4 linked regions of the Caenorhabditis elegans genome follow. The protein of the gene in region 2 interacts with the protein of the main gene of each other region in a pairwise test. Each region holds a gene or a part of one and is shown on either strand. Other genes may lie near its edges.

Region 1 (4,952 bases), on a different chromosome or scaffold from region 2:
TTTTTTGAACTTAGTTGTTCTACTACACCTCAGGTTTTCGTCCGAAATCGTGTTCAGAACATACAAACTAGAAATAATTACAAACATTGGATTTTTCTATAACATCTAATCATATTATAAAAAGTTTCCAAAAAAAAAATTTTGAAAAATTTTGTAAGGGGGGACCCTTTGGATTTTTTTTTCAAAAATCAAAAAAAATTTTTTTTCAAAAATTATCAAATTTTTATCAGGTATTGTAGAAATATGTTGAATTGTTTGTTTCTATAAGTTTTTTTGCTAAGTTCGGTGCTTTCGATAAGTCAAACCGACATTCCTTGGAGCTCTGAAAATTAAAACCTCCTGTATTAAAATGGATGTATCTAATTCTAGAGGCAAGATATCAAAAAGTTATCAACTACAACGTTGTTAAGTTTAAAACAATAAACATATTGATAGTTGTAAGTATCTCTTCATCTTTATCGAGAACTGAGATATATTTAAGTACAAATCTAGAATATTTTGGTTATCTTTTGAAGCCCACATCTCCGCAGTCACTAAAGATAACAAAAAGTTACCAACTAACAAAATGTTTTTCACATTATTGTCAACAACTTTTCAGTTGGCCACATTTTATTAATTCAAATGCCAACAGAGTTATGAGTCTTTTAAAGTAAGACGTCTATATGCTCAATCAACTCTTATATAGGTGATTGTTCGACTGAGAATGTAATATGAATGTCCAAACTTGTGGGAAATAACAAATTGGTATTTTTTCTATAAATATAACCCTTAAAAAAGTAACAAAATGTTTTTCACATTATTCAACAACAGATGACTCTAATAGTAGATGTTCGGAAATGAAGTGAACATTACAACAATCAATTGATTGTAACATTGTTAACAATAAACACTTCCATAAACACGTATACTAGTTATGCATGAATACTTCGGAAATACTTTGCTATGCTCCTTTTTTACTTCTTTTTTGATTTTCGGATTGGTCAATTTATTCACCCATTGCTTCGTCTTTTTGCGGTCCTTCGCCCATTTTTCCCCCATCGTTCACCCGCCAGCGCCCCTTCACCCACTATTCAGCCATTTTTCACACTTGGCGCTTTACCTGTGTGAGCTATTGAGGCCGACGGGAAAACTGATCGGACGGCCCGGAACGTACGTATGAATTTTCCGAAGTTGATCGAATGTTATCGCTGTTTTCGCATTTGCACTGGACTCTTTCTGTTGACGAATGTCACGTTCTAACATTTGAATTTCCCGTTCACATTCCTTCAAATTATTATTATAGATTTCCAAGTTTTTGATCCAAGGCGAGCAAATGCGCTCTAATGAATTATATTGATCTACCTTCTCAGACTTTTGAAAAACTGTTAATGGAAGTTTAACTTACATTTATTGAAATGAATTGGCCCATAGATCCATCATCATTTCTAAAAATTTAAATTTCAGATTTTCCGAATACCGTACTCTATTCGACTTACGTTTCATATTTGGAAACCGAAAAACTCGACTCTTGACTGTCGTCCATCGTCGTTGATTTTTTCAACACAATGAGCCCTTCTGTTGTGTTGGATGATAAGAATGTCACTTATCATTTCCGACAATCGTCATCGACCGTGGTGCACAGAGCTCCGCAAGTGAGCTCTTGTTGATGACGAGTCGAATCGATTCTGTTTGTTTGTCTTTGCGTTTATGAATTTTTGTGTGAGATGCACATGATTTTTATTCGATATTGAAAACTCCCTATCGGTTTTTCTGTCCGATTAAAATTTTCACCGTCGTCGGTGATTCACCCATTTCTTCTGATAATTTGTCGTCAAGTACGGTGAACTGTGTGTGCAAGTTTGCGTACCGGTGTTTGCGGGGTCAATGATTTATTTTTCGCGCTTCTTTGAATTTTATTACCGCCGCCTTCGGTTTAATCAATTTATACTCATTTTTCACCTTTTTCAGCAAAAATGCTCAAATCAAATGTTATTCAAGGTTCAATCGAGTCAATGAGTGTAGTGGATTCAACTTCTGATATTGATAAAGCTGATAAATCCGTGATTTTTTATTTTTGCATAGTTTTCAATTAATTTTTAATTTTTACAGTTTATGGAAGAGCTTCGACCAAAAATGCTGCTGACATGGCACGATATTTCAGTTTCGGTATATAATAAAAAATTTTGTTGTGAACAATATTTAGAATTTTCAGGACTCTTCAGAAGACTACTCTTCAAATAGTGGACTTTTTGGAAAATGTTGCCCGATCAAAGTCGGTGATGTAGAGAAGATGTCAGTGGAAAAACGGATTTTAGATAGTGGTAAATTTGATACTATCGGAAACGAAATTATAATAACTTTCAGTGTTCGGAGTGGCTCGACCCGGAGAGGTTACCGCGATCATTGGACCCAGTGGAGCTGGAAAAACTACGCTGCTCAATGTGCTTACAAAGCGAAACCTTTCAAATTTGAAAGCTACCGGAAGTGTCAAGGTGAGCTAAATTATAATTTAAAAAGACTGAAAATTTATTTATTTCTTCAATTCCAATTATTCTTGGTTGACAACGCCTTCCACCTTCATTTTCCTGTTCTTAGTTCCATTTTTCTTGGTTTTCTCCATTTTCTCAGTGACAGGAGCCAATGTAGTTGTTGATGAGAGACATGGGACTACTGTACTATGATACTGTGTTGGATATCGTCTCTGTGCATATTGTTTAGCACTTGACACACAGATACTGTCTTCACAATCGGCTGTCTTGGCGGCCAAAACGGTGTCCACGGGAGTCAGACAGTTGACCAACTTGTTGACTGTTTTCTATAATTTGATATCATCAGTTGTGGTGGGACAATGAACATTTTCTGAAAAAAAACCTGGGGAATACCCCCTTGTGACACAGAAAATTCAGAGATTAGGCCTTAAAACTATATTAAATTTTGTGTTTGCAAATTGAGACTTGTAAACCGGTTAACAAGAATTGCAAGGTGTTAGAGAAGATGATATTTAGGACTTTTGCAGAGATCATCGTTCGAAAATCAAATTTGATAAATGATACATTGTCTAAATTCCACAAATTAAATGTTTTTTTTTACTTTGAGCAAAAAAAAAACCAAAAACAGGGAACTTATGTAGTAACCGTACCCCAAAGGCTATTAATTTTGCACAACTAAAAAAATTTGAGAAAAACATTTTTGCAACCAAAGTTTCGCGTTTCAAGAAAAAAAGATAGCAACTTTCATTCCTTTCCAGAAAATAAATGCTCACCTTTGTGTGTTTCGAAAGTTTTGGTGCTCTTGTTGCACATTCCACATGGAATACAGTCAAAATCACAGAAAATATAAAAATTAATGTCAAAGTTTGCATTGTTTCGAATGAGTCGATAAATCACATTGAATATCCATGTCATGACCTCCCTTTGTTAATCTTCTTCGGGTTTTAGTACAAATCGATTTGGTTTAGTCTTTTTAATCGTCTCTAACTATAGTTGGAAAGTGTACCCAAAAAACAGTTCATATAATTCCTCGGCGTATGAAAAAAAAACATGAAAATGTCAATATAACGAGATCACAACTGAGATTCTAAGTTTGAATTAAAATACATTAACACGAAATTCAACCAAGCAAGACTCTTCTCATGATTGGCTCAATCTCCTCTTCTGATTCAGACGAAGTATCGTAGTCGACTGATGGAACTCCGGCGGAGCAACGTGGTGAGCACAGGAACTGCATAAGTGGAACTCGATACTTTCCGCAGAAATCCACAAATTTTATATGCTCAACTCGAGCATCGAAGTAGACTCCTTGACATTCAGGGTTGACACATTGACAAGCGGATCCTAGATAAGCTACGAGATCACTGAAAAGGGTTATTGTAAGGCATTCGATAAACAATTTGATTCAAAAATATCGTACTCTGATCAGAAACAAGGTCACGTCAGGGTTCAATTTGATACAATTTTGAATCACTAGAATGTCCCCAACATAAAATAAAATTAAAGATTTGATAAGACTTACGATGGCAAAATTTCGTCCAGATTCGGTACTTTGTGATAGTTCTGTCGAACAGTTCTTCCTGATAATTCTTTCAATGATGGAGGTGCAAGATCCATATTATGAACGAATGAATGAACCAGAGGATTGTTACGGAGAGATAATTGCTGCAGACGTCGCAGATTTAAAATATCAGTGGGCAGAGTTCGCAATCTGTTGTTATGCAAGGACAAAGTCTCCAAATAGTGCAAATCTCCTAATGTTGATGGAATTGTCTCTAGAATATTATCACAAAGACCAAGGTTTTCCAATTCATCTAGGCAACCAATGGATGCAGGAATTTCACGGAGTCGATTACCTCCGAGATATAGAACTCTCAGTCTAAAAAATGAAATGATTAACAGTTTTTAAACACAGTTTCAGGAAACTTACAACGTAAGAACACTAATGTTTGATGGGCAACTGTCGATGTAATTTCCTCCGAGATGAAGAGTTTTCAATTTTCTCATAGTCAAAATGACTGGTGGTACGTATTCAAGTCGATTTCCAGAAAGATAAAGATGTTCCAAATTCTCAAGAAGTTGCAATCCTTTTGGTAAATGTTCCAACAAGTTGTTTCGAGCAATTAGAGTTCTGAAATCAACTCAAGTCAATTAAATTTTAACTTGGTAACTGATGTACTCACGTCAAACTGCTCAGAGTACCAATATCTTCTGGTAAAGCCGAAAGTGAATTGAACGATACATCAAGAACCGAGACATTATTGAAAGTTGTGAGACCACGAAGAATCACGAAAGAGTTATGAGTGAGATCCAACTTTTTAACATTTTGTGGATCGTAATCTTCTTCTGGCTGCTCAATATGATACCGCATTGGAATTTCTTCAAGTCCATAGTCATGAAGAACAAGTTCGTCGGATTTAGTACTTCTGAAAGTACCGGTTCATTATATCAGCTGATTGCCAGCCGTTTTTATCAGTGTTCGTG
Region 2 (5,265 bases):
CAACAACAAATTTGGATGAGAGCAAAGTGGAAGGAATGGCTATCGTTTTGGCAGATATAATTGCTGAAAGACGCGGATTCGATGAAAATGGAAAGTTGAGAGGAAGAGATATGCAGGTATGGGATAATGAGCTATCAAAACTAATAATCAAACTTATAGATGGTAGTAATCACTCACGATGAGCGACTCGTCAACAGGATCACAATCAGTTGTCGTCCAGAGTATATTTATTGTTTGGGGAAGGACGAGCACGGAATAAGTTTCCTTTCGAAACGTTATCCAGATGGAACAGTGAAAAGAGTTAATACGAAGAGACGGTTCTAGAATGGTATTGAAGAATCTCAATAGTACAAATAATATTTTACGGTCTCAAAATTGATTCGCTCACCTTTTAATTATGTTTTATGCTTTGTCAGATCATTCCCGAGTTTCCAAATGTTGTTACCTCATGTTTTATATTTTACGAGATGAACCCGATGCATCGGCCGATGTGAAATGAAAAATATTTTCTAACTGTTTCAATATTCTAATGCGTTTTTTGCTACGCTTTTGTTTCTTTCTTCTTGTTAAAAGCTAACCTTATTCATAAAAAATTTCGATTCAAGATCAGAATGTCTGACGATGAGGATGACTACATGTCTGCTGAAATTCTCCAAGGAGTTAGTGAACAACCAGTTGGAATTGCAAAATCTAGAGCTCACAAGCGAGAACTACAAATAAATTCAAGATTTGAAGAGTCCAGAGACACGTTTAAACCAAAAAGGCCAACTAGTCATGCTGAGCGAGGTTTGTAAATCGTAGTATATTATTTTTGTAGTTTACCAAATAAATTTCAGAAAAAGAACGTCGCGACGAGGCGCTCGCAAAACCGATTAGCCACGAATCGAAAGGATTTGCATTGATGGCAAAAATGGGATTCAAACCTGGTATGACATTGGGAAAGCAAAGAGAAGACGAAATTCGAATTACGGAACCAATTGGTGTCGATATCAAGGCTAATAGGAAGGGACTTGGGCACGAGGTTGAAGCAGTTCAAGAACGCAATGAACGAGTTGAGGCTGTAATGCAAAAAATGAAAGAACAAGCGGCAAAGCATGAAGAGCTGATCGATGACTATTCCAAACGGCGGAAGCTTGATGCCAACTCAAAGCAATTAGTCAAAGACATCAGATCTTGTCGAAAGGTGTGCGAAGAGTTGGATCATCGAATTGGAAAAAAAGTTCCCAGTGTTTCGTGGTTTTGGAGAAGTTATAAAGTTGCTCAAGAGGAAACTACATCTTACCATAAAAAAGTTGAAAAAGAAGATGAAGAATATAAGTACTCAAATGGTTTAGCAGCTCCAGAAGATCCGAATTATGATTTCACAATGTCAACGGAAATTTTAGAAGAAGCGTAAGTTTTTGTTTTGTAGATAAGGTTTCAATGAGCGTTATTTATCCAAACCGACAATAGTATTAAATATGCGTTTATTTCAGACTTTCCACTATCAACAATTATCTTCGAGATGGTCACTTCTATTGTATTTGGTGCGGAGCCAACTTTTCCTCGCCAGAAGATATGATCGAACATTGTCCTGGGAGCACTCGTCGAGCACATCATGGAGAAGATGAATAGATTAATTATTTTCATAAAATCTCAATTCTTGATGTATATACTATGAATCCTTTTTTATAACCAAGTTCGTGTCCTAACATCGTGTCACTTTTTTTTTTTGCTTTTTTGCTTCATTATTGTCTGCTCCTGTGTTGTTTCTCAAGGTGGGAACGTATCAAGTGACAAGTGACCACTAGTCAGTCAGCTTGAAGTGGCGATCAGTTGCCGCGCACCACCAGTAGCCCCCAACAGCGCGAAAAGCTTCTTTAGCGATAGAAAAGAACACAAACAATTGAAAAAGAAGAAAGTCCAGTGCACACACGACACTTGTGCTTCTTCAGCTACAGTCTTCAGTGGGCAGCAACATCAAGTTCCACCATCTTTATCATCTGCTCATCCATTCTCTCGATCTGTTCCGGTAAATTTGATTGCCAATCATTTTGCAAATCATGGCATGGTTAACGTCCATATTTTTCATTCTTCTAGCCGTTCAACCGGTTCTTCCACAGGATCTATATGGCACAGCAACTCAGCAGGTACAGTGAACTGTTCAAAAATTTGTAGCATTTGTTCTTATTTCTCTTTCTCAAAGTTTCTAATGCTTAGGGTCTCACCACGACCAAGATATTGTTCAAATGAAGGGCTCGCCAAGGGATTTGCACCTATAAGGAGTACTGTAGTTCAAGTTCAAGTTTTTTTTTCAATTTTTCCTCGTTCGTTCCGATTTTAATGCTTTATTTCTAACTATTTGTTTCGTATTTACATATAAATCGGTATGAGCTACAAGGAAAATATTTATGTAAAATCGAAAAAATTGTGAAATGAGTCGCACTACAGTACTATTTAAAATCACCGTATTTAAAATATTTCTGTCGTATCGAGACCTAATTTTGACAAAAAATCGCACAAAAAATCATTATGGTTTTAGGCAACATAAAGATTCCAATTGGATTCACAGACGATTTAAAAACTTAATTTTGAAAAAAATCAAAACAATCGTTTTTCTTTAGTGAATTGTATAAATATTTTCCAGCAGCCTTATCCATATGTACAACCTAGTGCTTCGTCTGGTTCTGGAGGCTACGTTCCAAATCCTCAATCAAGCATTCATACTGTTCAGCAGCCATATCCAAATATTGTAAGTTATAAAGGCTTGGGCCAGGGCCGAGGATAGGTCTATATTTGTTTACATTACCAGAATATCAAGAAACAATATTTAGGATGTAGTCGAACCAGATGTGGATAGTGTAGACATTTATGAAACTGAAGAACCTCAATTTAAAGTTGTGAACCCTGTATTTCCACTTGGTGGATCTGGAATCGTTGAACCTGGTACAATCCCACCACCAATGCCTCAAACTCAAGCTCCAGAAAAACCAGACAACAGCTATGCAATTAACTATTGTGATAAACGAGAATTCCCAGATGATGTACTAGCACAATATGGATTAGAAAGGATTGATTATTTTGTATACAACACTTCATGCTCTCATGTTTTCTTCCAGGTAATTTTTTGGAAATTATTTTTCTGAAATACAGAAATAGTTGAACAAATGTATAATTTAAAGTATTGAAACTTATCTTTATTGTATGCACGAAATAAGCTATTTTTATTTGTATGCTATCAATATTTATATTTCTACAGTCAATAGATTTCTGAAATTCCGAACTTCTTTCATATTTTCAGTGTTCAATTGGCCAGACTTTTCCTCTGGCGTGTATGTCCGAAGATCAAGCATTTGATAAGTCTACTGAAAATTGTAATCACAAGAATGCTATTAAATTCTGTCCAGAATACGATCATGTCATGCACTGTAGTAAGTCATTCAATTAAGAGTATGTATAAAATTTCATATGGCGTTGATGCACCATGAGGTGCGCTTGAAAGTTTGTAAATCTGCAATTTTCTGATTTTGATTTTATGGAAACTTAATTATTTCATCGATTTTTTCTCGAAATCTATAAAATATATTTATTTACAAAAAGCTCCAATATAAAATAGTGTTTGATATTGCAGCAATCAAAGACACCTGTACTGAAAATGAGTTTGCTTGTTGTGCAATGCCTCAATCCTGTATCCATGTGAGCAAACGTTGTGATGGTCACCCAGACTGTGCCGATGGGGAAGATGAGAACAATTGTCGTAAGTTACTCATTACAACAATTGCCAATTAAATTGAAAACCTTTAGCATCGTGTGCACGTGATGAGTTTGCATGTGTGAAGAGTGAACATTGTATTCCTGCAAACAAAAGATGTGACGGTGTGGCTGATGATTGTGAAGATGGATCGAATCTTGATGAAATTGGATGCAGTAAAAATACAAGTAATTTTTACTTTTTAAAATGTACTTTATAACAAAGTAATTAAAGCTTGTATTGGAAAGTTCGTCTGTGGAACATCGCGTGGAGGTGTTTCATGTGTGGATTTAGATATGCATTGTGATGGAAAGAAAGATTGTTTAAATGGAGAAGATGAAATGAATTGTAGTAAGTTTTTTTCTGCCTCCCTTCTTCTCACCCGGAAAACACCTCTGGAAAGTTATAAGTGGCGAAATAATGTACAGTACTTCCTCTAATAATATCGCATCCTACTATTTCACTTTAAAAGGTTATACCTCGGTTCAATTTAAAGATATTGAACATATTTTTCAATAAATAATTGACTGCAAACGATAGAAAAAAGTTTTCAAAAAATTGTCAAATGACAATTTTTAAATAGGAGAAAAGACAACTGAGATATTTAATTGTCAAAGTCTAACATTGGGAGTGCAACATTAATAGAAATACATACAATTTGGAATGTCTTTCTTAACTATAACCACACATTTTGGCACAACTTCAATGTGCGAACTTTTTCTTGTTCGAGACAAAAACATAGGAAAAAAAGTATTTTTAGCCAAGTGTCCAAATAAACACTGACGAATACTACACTTGTTATTTCAGAACAAGAAGGACGCCAAAAATATTTGCTCTGCGAGAATCAAAAACAATCAGTGACACGTCTACAATGGTGTAATGGAGAAACAGATTGTGCTGATGGATCTGATGAAAAATATTGTTACTAGATACTGCTGAACTTCTTGTCGATTTCCCTTAATTTATAAATAAATACATGAATGTCATTGCTTCTTGAAATATTCTTTCAAATTATTTGACAAAACGATTAGTTTCGCTTTGAAAATTTGACGGAAAAGAGGTCGAAAAGGGTGGGGACTGGTTATTTTTCAAGGTTTACTGTTTCTCTTTTTCTCTTCTTTTTGTTACTCTTACCCCTTTTCAACTTTGACACCGAAAGTCAACCAGTGTTAGACTCATGAGTATTTCCGTATATTCTGTTACTATTTTCACACTTTTGACATTACTTCCGTTAATATGTATATCACTGGAGTGCATCAACTCAACATCATACATGGACAGAGTTCTCGTCAAACCAATGAGCTCACATTGTCGTTTGAATAATGCACTTTGTGTGAAGACAATGCAAATTAGTCAGAATTCTGGTATGCACATATTTTTTGAAGTTGGAACTTTTAATATTGATCATTTCGTATTGACCGTCTCCGACTCAATATTTTTTGTTCCAACATTGATTAACTACCATTAACTGTCATTAAGTTCTGGTCCAAAAAATTGAATCAGAAGTTGGCAGAAGTTTGAACAAAGTTGAGCTA
Region 3 (4,216 bases), on a different chromosome or scaffold from region 2:
GAAGATCTTGGTGGTGATCGTAAGAAAGGAGGAGCCGAGTGTATTGCTGTCGACATGGAATATTGAGAATTGACTTGATTTTTGCCTACTAGAAGACTTGATTATGTCATTGAACTTTTTTCATGACCACCAATGAATTATTTCTTGAAACTGTTGATCAATAGTAACCTATAATTAAATATATACTTTTGCCTGTTTTTCATAGATTTCCTGAAGGAATTCCCTTTTTTCCACTGAATTTTAATGAAAAAAGGGAACTTTCTCGTCTGCAAAAAGTAAAAGATCCAAACTTTTCGGTTGTTTTTTTTGATCTTAAAAGCTTTGAAAAAAAAGAATAAATTAGTGAATTTGTCACAAAAGCTTTTTGAGCCGGAAAAGTTTGCCAAAATTACACGTTTTGTTCTGAAGGATTTAGCGAAAATCGATTTTTTTTGCTACTGGGAGTTCGGGAAGTTCATAAAAAACCTGAAATTTGTCTGAATTTCTGTTTTTTCATACTTTGTGACTCGATAACAAGATTTTTCAGTGTGTATATCCGATTTATAATTTAAATTTTACAAATTTTGTGCCGCCGCAGCATTTACTGTAGCGGCGAGATCTCCTTTTCCTTCGGCGAGCCGCTGTCTGATGATCGTCGCCACGGCTTTCTGCGTTCTCCGCTCCAATTTTTGCAATTTCGACTCGATGTCTCGCTTCAAATCCCAATCGATCTTCTTCGGAGCCAACATCGCCAGATCTACGCTGTCGATGGCTTTTTCGTGCAGAACGTCCTAGAAAAAGCGGGGAATTTATGGAAAATTGTGATTTTTCGATGACTCTCTACCTTCAAATGCTCCGTAATTTCTCGCTGAACGATATCCAGATCCATGTCGACGTTTTGCGTGCCGACGGCATCGTCTGGCTTGTGATTCCGGAATTCTCGACCAACTTCGCGACTTTTCTTGGTAGAAGTCTCGCCTTCGTCGTAATCCTCCTCTCTGAAAGGAAAAACAATAGCATTATGCAATTTTTGAATGAAAATGACACTCACTGCATCTCAATTCCATGAATCTTCGACTTCATCGCTAGTAATCGTCGTTTGCGTGCTTTCGCCGCAGCCTCTAACGACGTTTCATGATTTGTGAGACTTTCGATGTCTTCATCGGAATCGCTGTTGTTTTTGTCGGTCATCTGCAAATTTTTAATTATATTCAATACATTTCAGTAATTTTCATGTAAAAAAATCAAAGAAAAAGACGAATTTTAAGCAAAAATCAGCTGAAAAACAAAAAAAATTAATTCAAAAACTCAGTGTGGATTTACGGCGTGTGGTGGGTCTCGCCGCGAAATGGGGGTACGGTCACAGTCGTTTCGCGTGTGCGATTTATGTTTCTCGGGCGGTTGCCATTTTTTGCGCGTGAAAATTCATTTTTCCACGGATTTTCAGCGATTTTCAGGTTTTTTCTTTAATTTTTATTGATTTTCTGTTGAAAATTAACAGTTTTCATTTAGAATTACGTAAAAACAGCGTGCTGAGCGCCTGATTTTGATAAAATTAGGTCTAAATCTGAAAGTAAAAATGCGTTTTGTCCGCATTTTTCGTTTCCTTTCTGAAACCTATAGAAAACAATTTGCAATTTTTATTTCAACATTGATATATGCATACATGGAAAATTCTCATTGAATTTTTCCTGAAAACGTTCAAGAAATTACGTCATTTTCGAAGTTTTTAAATACCCGTTTTCTCAATATCTACAGTTTTCAGGGTCATCATGCTTCGTCAAGGCGCGGGAACTCTCCAGCTTGTGTCTCAAGGCTTCGCCAATGCCGAGCAGGCTCGTGGATTTGCCACTTTGAAGGTAACTAGGCGATTTTTTGAAGCTTCCCACAATTCTCCAATTTTCAGGACATTTCCATCCGTCTGAAGTCGGTCAAGAACATCCAAAAGATCACCAAATCCATGAAGATGGTTGCCGCCGCCAAGTACGCCAAGGCTGAGCGTGAGTTGAAGGTAAAACTTTGATTTTATTCAAGAAAAATCTTTAAATATCAAAATTTTCCAGGGAGCTAGAGCCTACGGAGTCGGAGCCAAGACCTTCTTCGACAACATCGATCCAGTTGTCGAGGGAGTCGAGAAGCAAGAGTCCAAGAAGCAAGTTTTGGTGCTCATTACCTCCGACAGAGGACTTTGCGGTGGAGTTCACTCTTCCATCGTCAAGGAGGCCAAGAACATCCTCAACAACGCCGGAGACAAGGAAATCCGCGTTGTAGCCATCGGAGACAAGTCCAGAGCCGGACTTCAACGTCTTTATGGTAATATTTTGGTTTTTCTCGGGAAAAAGTCTTAAAATTGTGTTTATTTTCCAGCTAACAGCATTCTTCTCTCCGGAAACGAGATTGGACGTGCTCCACCAAGCTTCGCTGATGCTTCCATCGCTGCCAAGGCTATCCTCGACTCTGGATATGACTTTGAGACTGTAAATATTCAAATTCTAGTTAAAAACCCCCCATTTTTTTTTCTTGCAGGGAACCATCTTGTTCAACCGTTTCAAGACCGTCGTCTCGTACGAAACCTCAAAGCTCCAAATTCTTCCATTGGAGGCAATCAAGGCCAAGGAAGCCCTCAGCACGTACGATTCCGTCGACGATGACGTTCTCCAATCGTATTCCGAGTATTCGCTCGCCCAATTGATCTACTACGGAATGAAGGAATCCGCAACCTCAGAGCAGAGCTCCAGAATGACTGCCATGGACGGAGCATCGAAGAACGCCGGTAAGAGGCGGCGATGGACGACGATGCGAAGAATTAGATGATTTCTGATTGAACAGCCCAGAAAATTGCAATTTTGGGCTTGAAATTTGATATTTTTGCTGGAAAACGTATTTTGGGCATTTTTGGAGTTAAAATCGGCTCATTTTCGTGATTTTTCGCGAATATTCTTTTATATTTCCAGACAATTTTCTGATTCGAATGGTTCGCATTCTGTTTTCTAGGAATATCCGGTTTTCGTGTTGCAAATCGCCGAAAAACTACTTTTCTCAACAAAAAAAACTGTTTCAAAACTTTAAAAATGGTCGATTTTCTGCAAAAAAACGTCGGAAATCGTTGAGAATCTGTTTTGTTACAATTTTTTTAAAACCATGTGGAATTTTAATTTAACGTTAAATATCCATTTTCTACTGAAAAACCAGATTTTCTTGCCCAAAAATGTTATTAAAAAATTTGCAGCGACGGGATTTCGGAGTGTCGTTTACCGGCGCGAAATCTTGTTTTTCTCAAATGTTAACTACAGAATCCAAAAAATAGCTACAACATCAAATTTAATTTCTATTTTTTCAGGAGAAATGATCGACAAGCTTACATTGGCCTTCAACAGAACTCGTCAAGCAGTGATTACTCGCGAACTTATCGAAATCATCTCTGGAGCTGCCTGCGTCTAAATATCTCTCTCTCTCTGTCCCTTTTCTACATCCATTGTTGTTCAAACTATCGCTGTTTCGACGCCCCAATTTTCCCCACTTTAAATCCTTCCTGTCACCCCCAAAAATTAGATGTTTCGATTTATTTTTTATTTTTTTGTGTGTAACCCGTTGTTATAGTGATACGTTTGAGTAAATAGTGACACAAAAACAAGCGAAATAAATATATTTTTGTATGATTTCCCGGTCGTGGAAATCATGCAAAAAAATTTGATTAGTATGGTAGTCTTAAAATATTTTTTTTGCGGAAAATTTTTGGGAAAAAATGACGGTAAGAATTACCTAATGCGGATTATTTTGGAAGAAAAAAAAATAGATTAAAAAGAAATTAATTAAAATTTTTTAGGAAAAAACCGATAAATGGATCTCGCGACGATAGAAGGATATGCACAAACCTTATTGGTAAATTTTCAGAAAATTTCAAATAAATGTTAGATTTTAACAATTATTTGCTAAAAAATTCTGAATTTTCCTGAATAATCGTTAAATCCGTGATTTTCCGAATTTTTGAGTGAAAAAAACGGCAAATTTTCGGTTTTTTTCAGGAAAAATTCTCTAAAACCCCAATTTTTCAGGCCCCACCGAACCTGGTGACGTCAGAAGCCCGTGAACAAGTCACATTCTTTTTCGAGGATTTAAAGAAGAAAATTTCAATTAACGAATGTTTAATTCTGCTCAGTACGTTGGAAAATCGCTGAAAAAACTTGGTTTTTGACAAGAAATTCACGAAAAACGCTAGGAAATCGCTAAAACCCTT
Region 4 (5,806 bases), on a different chromosome or scaffold from region 2:
GAAGGAAAACTTGGAAGATTATGTTTAAACTTATTCACCACAAAAATGTGAACGACTGAACTCATTTCAGAACTCCTGAAAACGCGGTCTGAAATATTTTTAGTCCATCATTTCTTAGAATTATTTTAATCGCTTACGGGATGTCTGCAGATTTTCTGAATTTTTTCTAGAGTTGTCTGGTGGCAGGAAAATAATCTGGAAGGCTTTTTTTAAAATTTTTTAATTATTTTTGAAAAAAAACAACTGAACATTTTTGAACTAACTCGATCAAAAAATGTTGAATTTTTTGAAACATTTTTTGGAGCAGTTTAACGGGTTTAAAAACTAGTGAAAAAACTGCATTCAAAATATTCCAGACCGCGTTTTGGGTTGAGTTCAGCCGCTAAAAGTTTTGCCTTGACAAAGTCTGAAAACATGACTTCAAATGACCAAATTCGTCATTTTTCCCACTGTTGTTTTTTTTGAATTACCTTTTCAATTTATTATTACAAATATAAATTTTCATCCGAAAAAAAGTAAAAAATAATTAATATTATGGAAACTTTATTGAGTTGAACAATTGAAAAATATACATAGTATACAGTTTTTTATAGACACAAGTTGAGATTAAATACAATTATTGATCGCGTTTATAATACAATTTAATCTTGGAAATCAAACTTTCTGTTCAAAAAATCAAGAATAGTTCCGTTTCTCTCGCAGATCGAGTAGAACTTGAAAGAGCATGGCTGGAAGTATGTGTAGGCAGAAGCGTCCCAGTTGATAGCGGCACTGAAGTGAGCAGCACAGTTGGCAAGAGCAGACCATCCATTAGAAACTGGTTTGTATGGGCGGATGAGCCAGTTGCTAAAAATTAATACATTTTGAAAAGTTTTTGGTAATGTCAAACTTCTGCATTAGGGCAAATGCTTACAGTCTAGTTGGGTTGACGGCTCCTTCGGTCTGCCAAATTGGAGCATCTTGGGATTTCTCAAAGTGGGTGAAACGAACAAGACCAATCCAGGTGTAACCGGTTTGTGGGAAATGCTCACGGACGGCATCCTGAAATTGATTTATTAAGTTTTTGCTCACGTTTTCGCAATTGATTCAGCAGTTAATTTGATGATCATTCCCTTCTCCCACCCGGACCACTTGTGGTTCTCTCTACAGATCATTGGGTATGCATTACCAACTCGCGACATCTATTCGCAACAAATTCCAAACATATGTGGGTTGGCTTTTCGCCGTGGCAGTGGTGACGGAGCGGCGTTTGTCACAGTCCGCTTCTCTCCTGCCCCTCGCGCCCTTTTTGTTCGTTTTCTTACCCATTCATCCTGTGAGTTGACCACGAAAAGTGTCGCGTTTTTCTCATAGCACCGTTTCTCAGCCTCAGCAAAGCTTTGCTTGTGCTGTTCTATCCAGTAGCACGAGTCCGAGAAGCGAACCCATCCGTCCGGGCATGTTCCAGTCTGAAAATAGAATAGCATTTACGGGCCTAGTTGGAACGAAAAACTATCTTACTGGAAAATCGTGGTAGTGTTGACGTTGGTCAAGGGAAATATCAGTGAAGGCGTTGGTTCCAAAATCCTTGTAGCTCCAGTTGAAGAGTTTGACTGAAAACTTTCAATTGTAAGTTTCATATAGCAATACATTGCAACCTTCTTCAATTTGTGAGAATGATGTTAATTTTTTGAAAAAGTTTTGGTGCTGTTCGATAGACAATGTCGAAACATTGAGAAGTATTTCCAAAATAATCTTACCTTGAGCAAACCGAGTTGATACAAATCCCACGGCAGCTACGAGTAGAACGAGTTTGAAGATTCTGAAATAACTTTTAGTTACATAGAATTTTTCAAATGAACTTTGGTAAATCGTAACTGTTAAACAAAGAACTGATTTGGAATCAAGTGAAACGGGGGGTATATTTAATTTCGTCATTACCCTAAAGCACTTCAAAAGTTTCGAGTGTTTTATTGACATAATCATAGATATTGATGGGTTGGCTACTCGTCATTGTTATTGTCTTAGGAACGCGCTTTATAGGTTTTCATATCGCATCACTTAATGTCGAAATTTTTTTCACTTTTCAACTTGCAAAATTTTCACAGTCAAAGTTTCAATTTTGAAGATATGTCTCAAGCTTCACAAGAAGACAATGACGGTGGAGATTTATTGTCCCCAGAGTCACCAATGACTCCAGACGGAATGATATTGGCACGAATGCCTTGGCACCCAGGTAAGACGACGGCGTGCGAACAAGAGAATCTAATTTGCATTTTTAATCCGTTGCCAGGTCTCATTGGAAATTGGAACACAGTGAAATCAGTGAGCTGCAGTATGCTCAATGGAGACGAGGTATGTATGTAGGTGGAGTGAAGAAGGGGGATTTATCACCCCAGATGCAAGAAGCCTGTTGAATGTCTTAATGTCCCCCTCTTCTCCTTTTTTTCCGTAAACATTGCTTCTTCATTTGGATTCCTATTCAATATCAAATCCTTCTTTTTTCTGGATTGGGTTGTGCTCACACAAGCTCACAAAACGTTGCTATTTCCCAGACAAACATCAAGATGGAAGCAACAATACAATTTCGATTAACCTTGAGATCGCATTAGTATTCTCTATTTAGCGCTGATCCTAAGCCTCAGATTACAGAGCACATTATGTTCTTCAGTCTTTTGTTTTTTCAAAACAAGTTTGTAAGAAAAAAGTGTATCTCTTTGACAAAAGTTTCTAAATTAGTGAACAATTTTCAAGAAAAATGGGAAAATAGACATTTCATTTTAGTTGCAATTACTTTTCATAATATTTTGCATCGCAATAATTAAAATTTAAAAAGCGCACCATTCCCTTTACCCTCTCGGTTCGCGTTGTTTCAAGCAACAGAGCACTTTGTGCTCCGTCTCTCAACCGATATTACTCGCCACCCAATTGCCCCCGCTTTTTCGGATGCAAAAGAGAGAGGAGAAATAGGGATGTGGGCGTGGCGATTCCCCAAGAAAAATAGCGCTCAGTCGGACAGAGCTCAGAAGCGGTGAGATAACAATCGAAAGGGCACACTGATTGTTAGCAGCGTTGCCTCCCCTTGATAACTGTGCTTTTCTCGTTTCCTTGATAATTTATGACTTGTCGTCGTAAATCTTGATTTTATTTTGCCCTTTTCCGCAACCCTCCATCAAATCCGAAGCTCAATGGACGAAGAAAGTGGAAGCTCGGTGAGTATGTGGTTAACAATGAGAAAATTGAGTCCGGTAGCCATGGTGAGCCGGTCACAGAAAAAAACGGTGGGAATATTTGAAGCATGTGACGAAAATATTTTGGATTATTGTGACTTGTAACTTGAAACACTACTAGAGCGGACGAACCTAAATCATTTTGACATTCATTTTAGTATCCGGTTTCGACCGAATACGCATCCCTCTTGTCTCAAATCTATTGGTGTGCTTCCCACATGACTAAATACGAGTCTGAACACCTTTTTGAATTGTTTTATATTAGAGAAACAAAATAAGTTGTTATTTTTTGACACTCATTGTCTAGAATATTTATCAATACCAATTCATATTCTGATGATTGTTTTCTGTTATGCAATTTCTCTTTTCATGAAGAAAGCAGTGGTCATTTCTAAGGCTTCTTCGAGCCGAGCTTGACAGCTCTGATTCTCTCATCTCTTCACACATTTCTCTTCGGCAGTTCCTGACGACTATTGCCATACTGATATAATACTGATTGTGAGAGAAAAAAAGAAAACACCAATTTTCTAGTATCACTACGAATTCTGCTTACAAAAATCTTAGATTCCGCACTGGCTTGATTATAGTCATCGTCATCTTTCTATAAACAAACACCTCTTACCAACTCACCAAAAAATGGTGAAATATAAAATTAGAGCTCACACGCGCGATTAACGTCACCTCTGGTTTCAAAAGTGTGTTGGTGTGTGTATAAAGTGCACAGACTCACTCGACAACTCCAATTCTTTGCCTAATAATAGCTATTTTATATTTCTGAGACGATGATTTTTATGATTTTTTTTCAATCCGACTAAAAGAGGATGTGAGAAAAAAAGATATCCATGCTTTCCATATTTACTTTTTATAGGTAGAATTCTTGTATCTCTTTACAACTCCAGCTCACAGCTGAACATACAAAATCTTTTCTATTGTTCACACTATACAGCTCTAGAGCTCATTTTTGAAAGCTAGCAGAATAAGAATTCAGACAGATTTTATTTTTATATATCATAAACGGTCAACATTGTGACACTCATAAAATCAACACTTTTGCAAATTTACTTTCAACAACATATATTGATTAACTTAAAGTAATTTCTACTAGCGTGAAACATATAATCAAAGTGGGCGTACTAAACTGCCGATTTTCTCACAAAACCTTCTGTCTATAACTTCCACCTGTTCTTGTGAATGTTCAAACATTTGGAAGTGTTTCCAAGTTTTTTGTTATTAGTTTCCTCACATCAAAAACGTCTTGCTCATAATCCATGAGATGTCAAAGATAAACAAATGTTTAGCATGATTATCCTAGAATAAGAAGATAAGATTAGAACGCAATCATTATACTTACTCTTAACTACGACTATTTAAACTACTGAGGATTTATTTATTGAATATCATGACTGACTGCTTCTACCTCTACATTTTTCTACTTGTAGTCATTTTTTTTCTGCTCAAAGGGTTACTCTTGTTTACTGATATTGGGTAACGAAGTCACTTATGAGAGAATACATTTAGAAGCAGTCGTTGAAAATGGTTTGGGATGAAGTCTTATTAACCCTCAGATGTACTTCTGTTCAAATTTTCAGTGACGTTTTCAGACTGATCAAGCAGCTCCAAGTGATGAGCAGCAGGAAGCTGGCTCGTCTTCAGCAATCGGTCAAGAATCTCGAAAAACAGTTGTATTTCAAGAACCCGGTAAGCATTATTAATAAGCTTTTACAATAACCAGTTGAATACTTTCTAGATATTGGATTCCCGAGTGAACACGATCAACTGACAACTCTACACGATTCTGAGGTTGGTTTCCACTTAAAATCAATAAATCTTGTGTGTAGGATAGTAAAGTTAAGCATTGCCACATGGAGTTGCCATAAAACCGTCGGGTTGGGTGGCTTCTGCAGGGGAAACATCCCTTTCAACCCATTGCTTTGAATCAATGATTCTCAATTTCTTTGCTCAATCTTAATAATGCTAGCCTATTTCAGGAAGGAAACCGAAAAATGTCATTAGTTGGAAAACCGTTAACCTATAAAAACTATCGTACTGATCAACGATTTCGAAGAATGCAGAACAAAATGCATAACTTTTTGGAAAGGCCGCGTGGCTGGAAAGCTGCCACTTATCATCTTGCAGTGTGAGCTTACGGAGAAAAATAATACAATTAATTTAAAAAAAAACATTTTTCAGATTATTCATGGTCCTAATGTGCTTAGCGCTGTCAGTGTTTTCTACGATGCCAGATTTTGAAGTTAATGCAACAATTGTGTTATATTATTTGGTAAGATAACAAATTTAATTTAATTTAAGTTTAATAGCCCTAAATTTATGACTAAAAGTGTTCAGGAAATAGTATTTGTGATCTGGCTGGCTACTGAATATATCTGCCGCGTCTGGTCAGCCGGATGCCGCTCAAGATACCGAGGCATTAGCGGACGGATACGATTTGCCACAAGTGCTTACTGCGTCATCGGTTCGCACTACAATAGTTCGTGTCTAGTCTGACTATATTTTCAGACATAATCGTTATTCTTGCATCTATCACAGTATTATGTATCGGAGCAACTGGGCAAGTATTCGCCGCGTCGGCAATCAGA

Evidence for each region.
Region 1: the proteins of lrx-1 (region 2) and wht-7 interact in a two-hybrid assay, tested with the Caenorhabditis elegans proteins (one large-scale study listed by BioGRID).
Region 3: the proteins of lrx-1 (region 2) and Y69A2AR.18 interact in a two-hybrid assay, tested with the Caenorhabditis elegans proteins (one large-scale study listed by BioGRID).
Region 4: the proteins of lrx-1 (region 2) and clec-266 interact in a two-hybrid assay, tested with the Caenorhabditis elegans proteins (one large-scale study listed by BioGRID).

The regions. Positions count from the first base shown.
Region 1 is NC_003281.10:6,146,586-6,151,537, reverse strand, and holds the start of wht-7 (ABC transporter domain-containing protein), read left to right. Parts: upstream 1-1,947; 5' UTR 1,948-1,952; coding exon 1,953-2,039; intron 2,040-2,088; coding exon 2,089-2,145; intron 2,146-2,191; coding exon 2,192-2,300; intron 2,301-2,343; coding exon 2,344-2,471; intron 2,472-2,490; exon of another isoform or gene 2,491-2,527; coding exon of another isoform or gene 2,528-2,794; intron 2,795-3,241; coding exon of another isoform or gene 3,242-3,340; exon of another isoform or gene 3,341-3,352; intron 3,353-3,471; exon of another isoform or gene 3,472-3,588; coding exon of another isoform or gene 3,589-3,832; exon of another isoform or gene 3,833-3,986; coding exon of another isoform or gene 3,987-4,347; intron 4,348-4,398; coding exon of another isoform or gene 4,399-4,599; intron 4,600-4,651; coding exon of another isoform or gene 4,652-4,894; intron 4,895-4,952. Other genes in the region: rotr-1 (Nbl1_Borealin_N domain-containing protein), read right to left, coding at 1,154-1,263, 1,385-1,424, 1,476-1,522; Y42G9A.2 (uncharacterized protein), read right to left, coding at 2,528-2,794, 3,242-3,340; Y42G9A.3 (Leucine-rich repeat and WD repeat-containing protein 1 LRR domain-containing protein), read right to left, coding at 3,589-3,832, 3,991-4,347, 4,399-4,599, 4,652-4,894.
Region 2 is NC_003283.11:12,250,736-12,256,000, forward strand, and holds lrx-1 (LRP X(cross)-hybridizing), read left to right. Parts: upstream 1-1,949; 5' UTR 1,950-2,042; coding exon 2,043-2,129; intron 2,130-2,626; coding exon 2,627-2,731; intron 2,732-2,813; coding exon 2,814-3,098; intron 3,099-3,280; coding exon 3,281-3,410; intron 3,411-3,610; coding exon 3,611-3,736; intron 3,737-3,783; coding exon 3,784-3,918; intron 3,919-3,964; coding exon 3,965-4,081; intron 4,082-4,537; coding exon 4,538-4,659; 3' UTR 4,660-4,715; downstream 4,716-5,265. Other genes in the region: rad-50 (Zinc-hook domain-containing protein), read left to right, coding at 1-116, 160-324; T04H1.5 (G patch domain-containing protein 11), read left to right, coding at 612-786, 837-1,392, 1,476-1,614; T04H1.12 (Activin_recp domain-containing protein), read left to right, coding at 4,908-5,094.
Region 3 is NC_003282.8:2,493,998-2,498,213, forward strand, and holds Y69A2AR.18 (F-ATPase gamma subunit), read left to right. Parts: upstream 1-1,737; 5' UTR 1,738-1,751; coding exon 1,752-1,838; intron 1,839-1,885; coding exon 1,886-1,990; intron 1,991-2,042; coding exon 2,043-2,292; intron 2,293-2,346; coding exon 2,347-2,456; intron 2,457-2,505; coding exon 2,506-2,752; intron 2,753-3,319; coding exon 3,320-3,420; 3' UTR 3,421-3,678; downstream 3,679-4,216. Other genes in the region: Y69A2AR.19 (Protein-tyrosine-phosphatase), read left to right, coding at 1-66; ccdc-12 (Coiled-coil domain-containing protein 12), read right to left, coding at 555-770, 824-977, 1,031-1,170; Y69A2AR.16 (Exportin-4), read left to right, coding at 3,820-3,861, 4,035-4,137.
Region 4 is NC_003284.9:6,616,913-6,622,718, forward strand, and holds clec-266 (C-type lectin domain-containing protein), read right to left. Parts: upstream 3,895-5,806; 5' UTR 3,192-3,894; coding exon of another isoform or gene 3,168-3,191; 5' UTR 2,335-3,167; coding exon of another isoform or gene 2,273-2,334; 5' UTR 2,216-2,272; coding exon of another isoform or gene 2,110-2,215; 5' UTR 1,918-2,109; coding exon 1,740-1,917; intron 1,593-1,739; coding exon 1,501-1,592; intron 1,449-1,500; coding exon 1,305-1,448; intron 1,042-1,304; coding exon 914-1,041; coding exon of another isoform or gene 910-913; exon of another isoform or gene 847-909; coding exon 642-846; 3' UTR 527-641; downstream 1-526. Other genes in the region: kqt-1 (Potassium voltage-gated channel subfamily KQT member 5), read left to right, coding at 2,110-2,215, 2,273-2,334, 4,811-4,907, 4,957-5,009, 5,198-5,346, 5,400-5,490, 5,556-5,682, 5,727-5,806.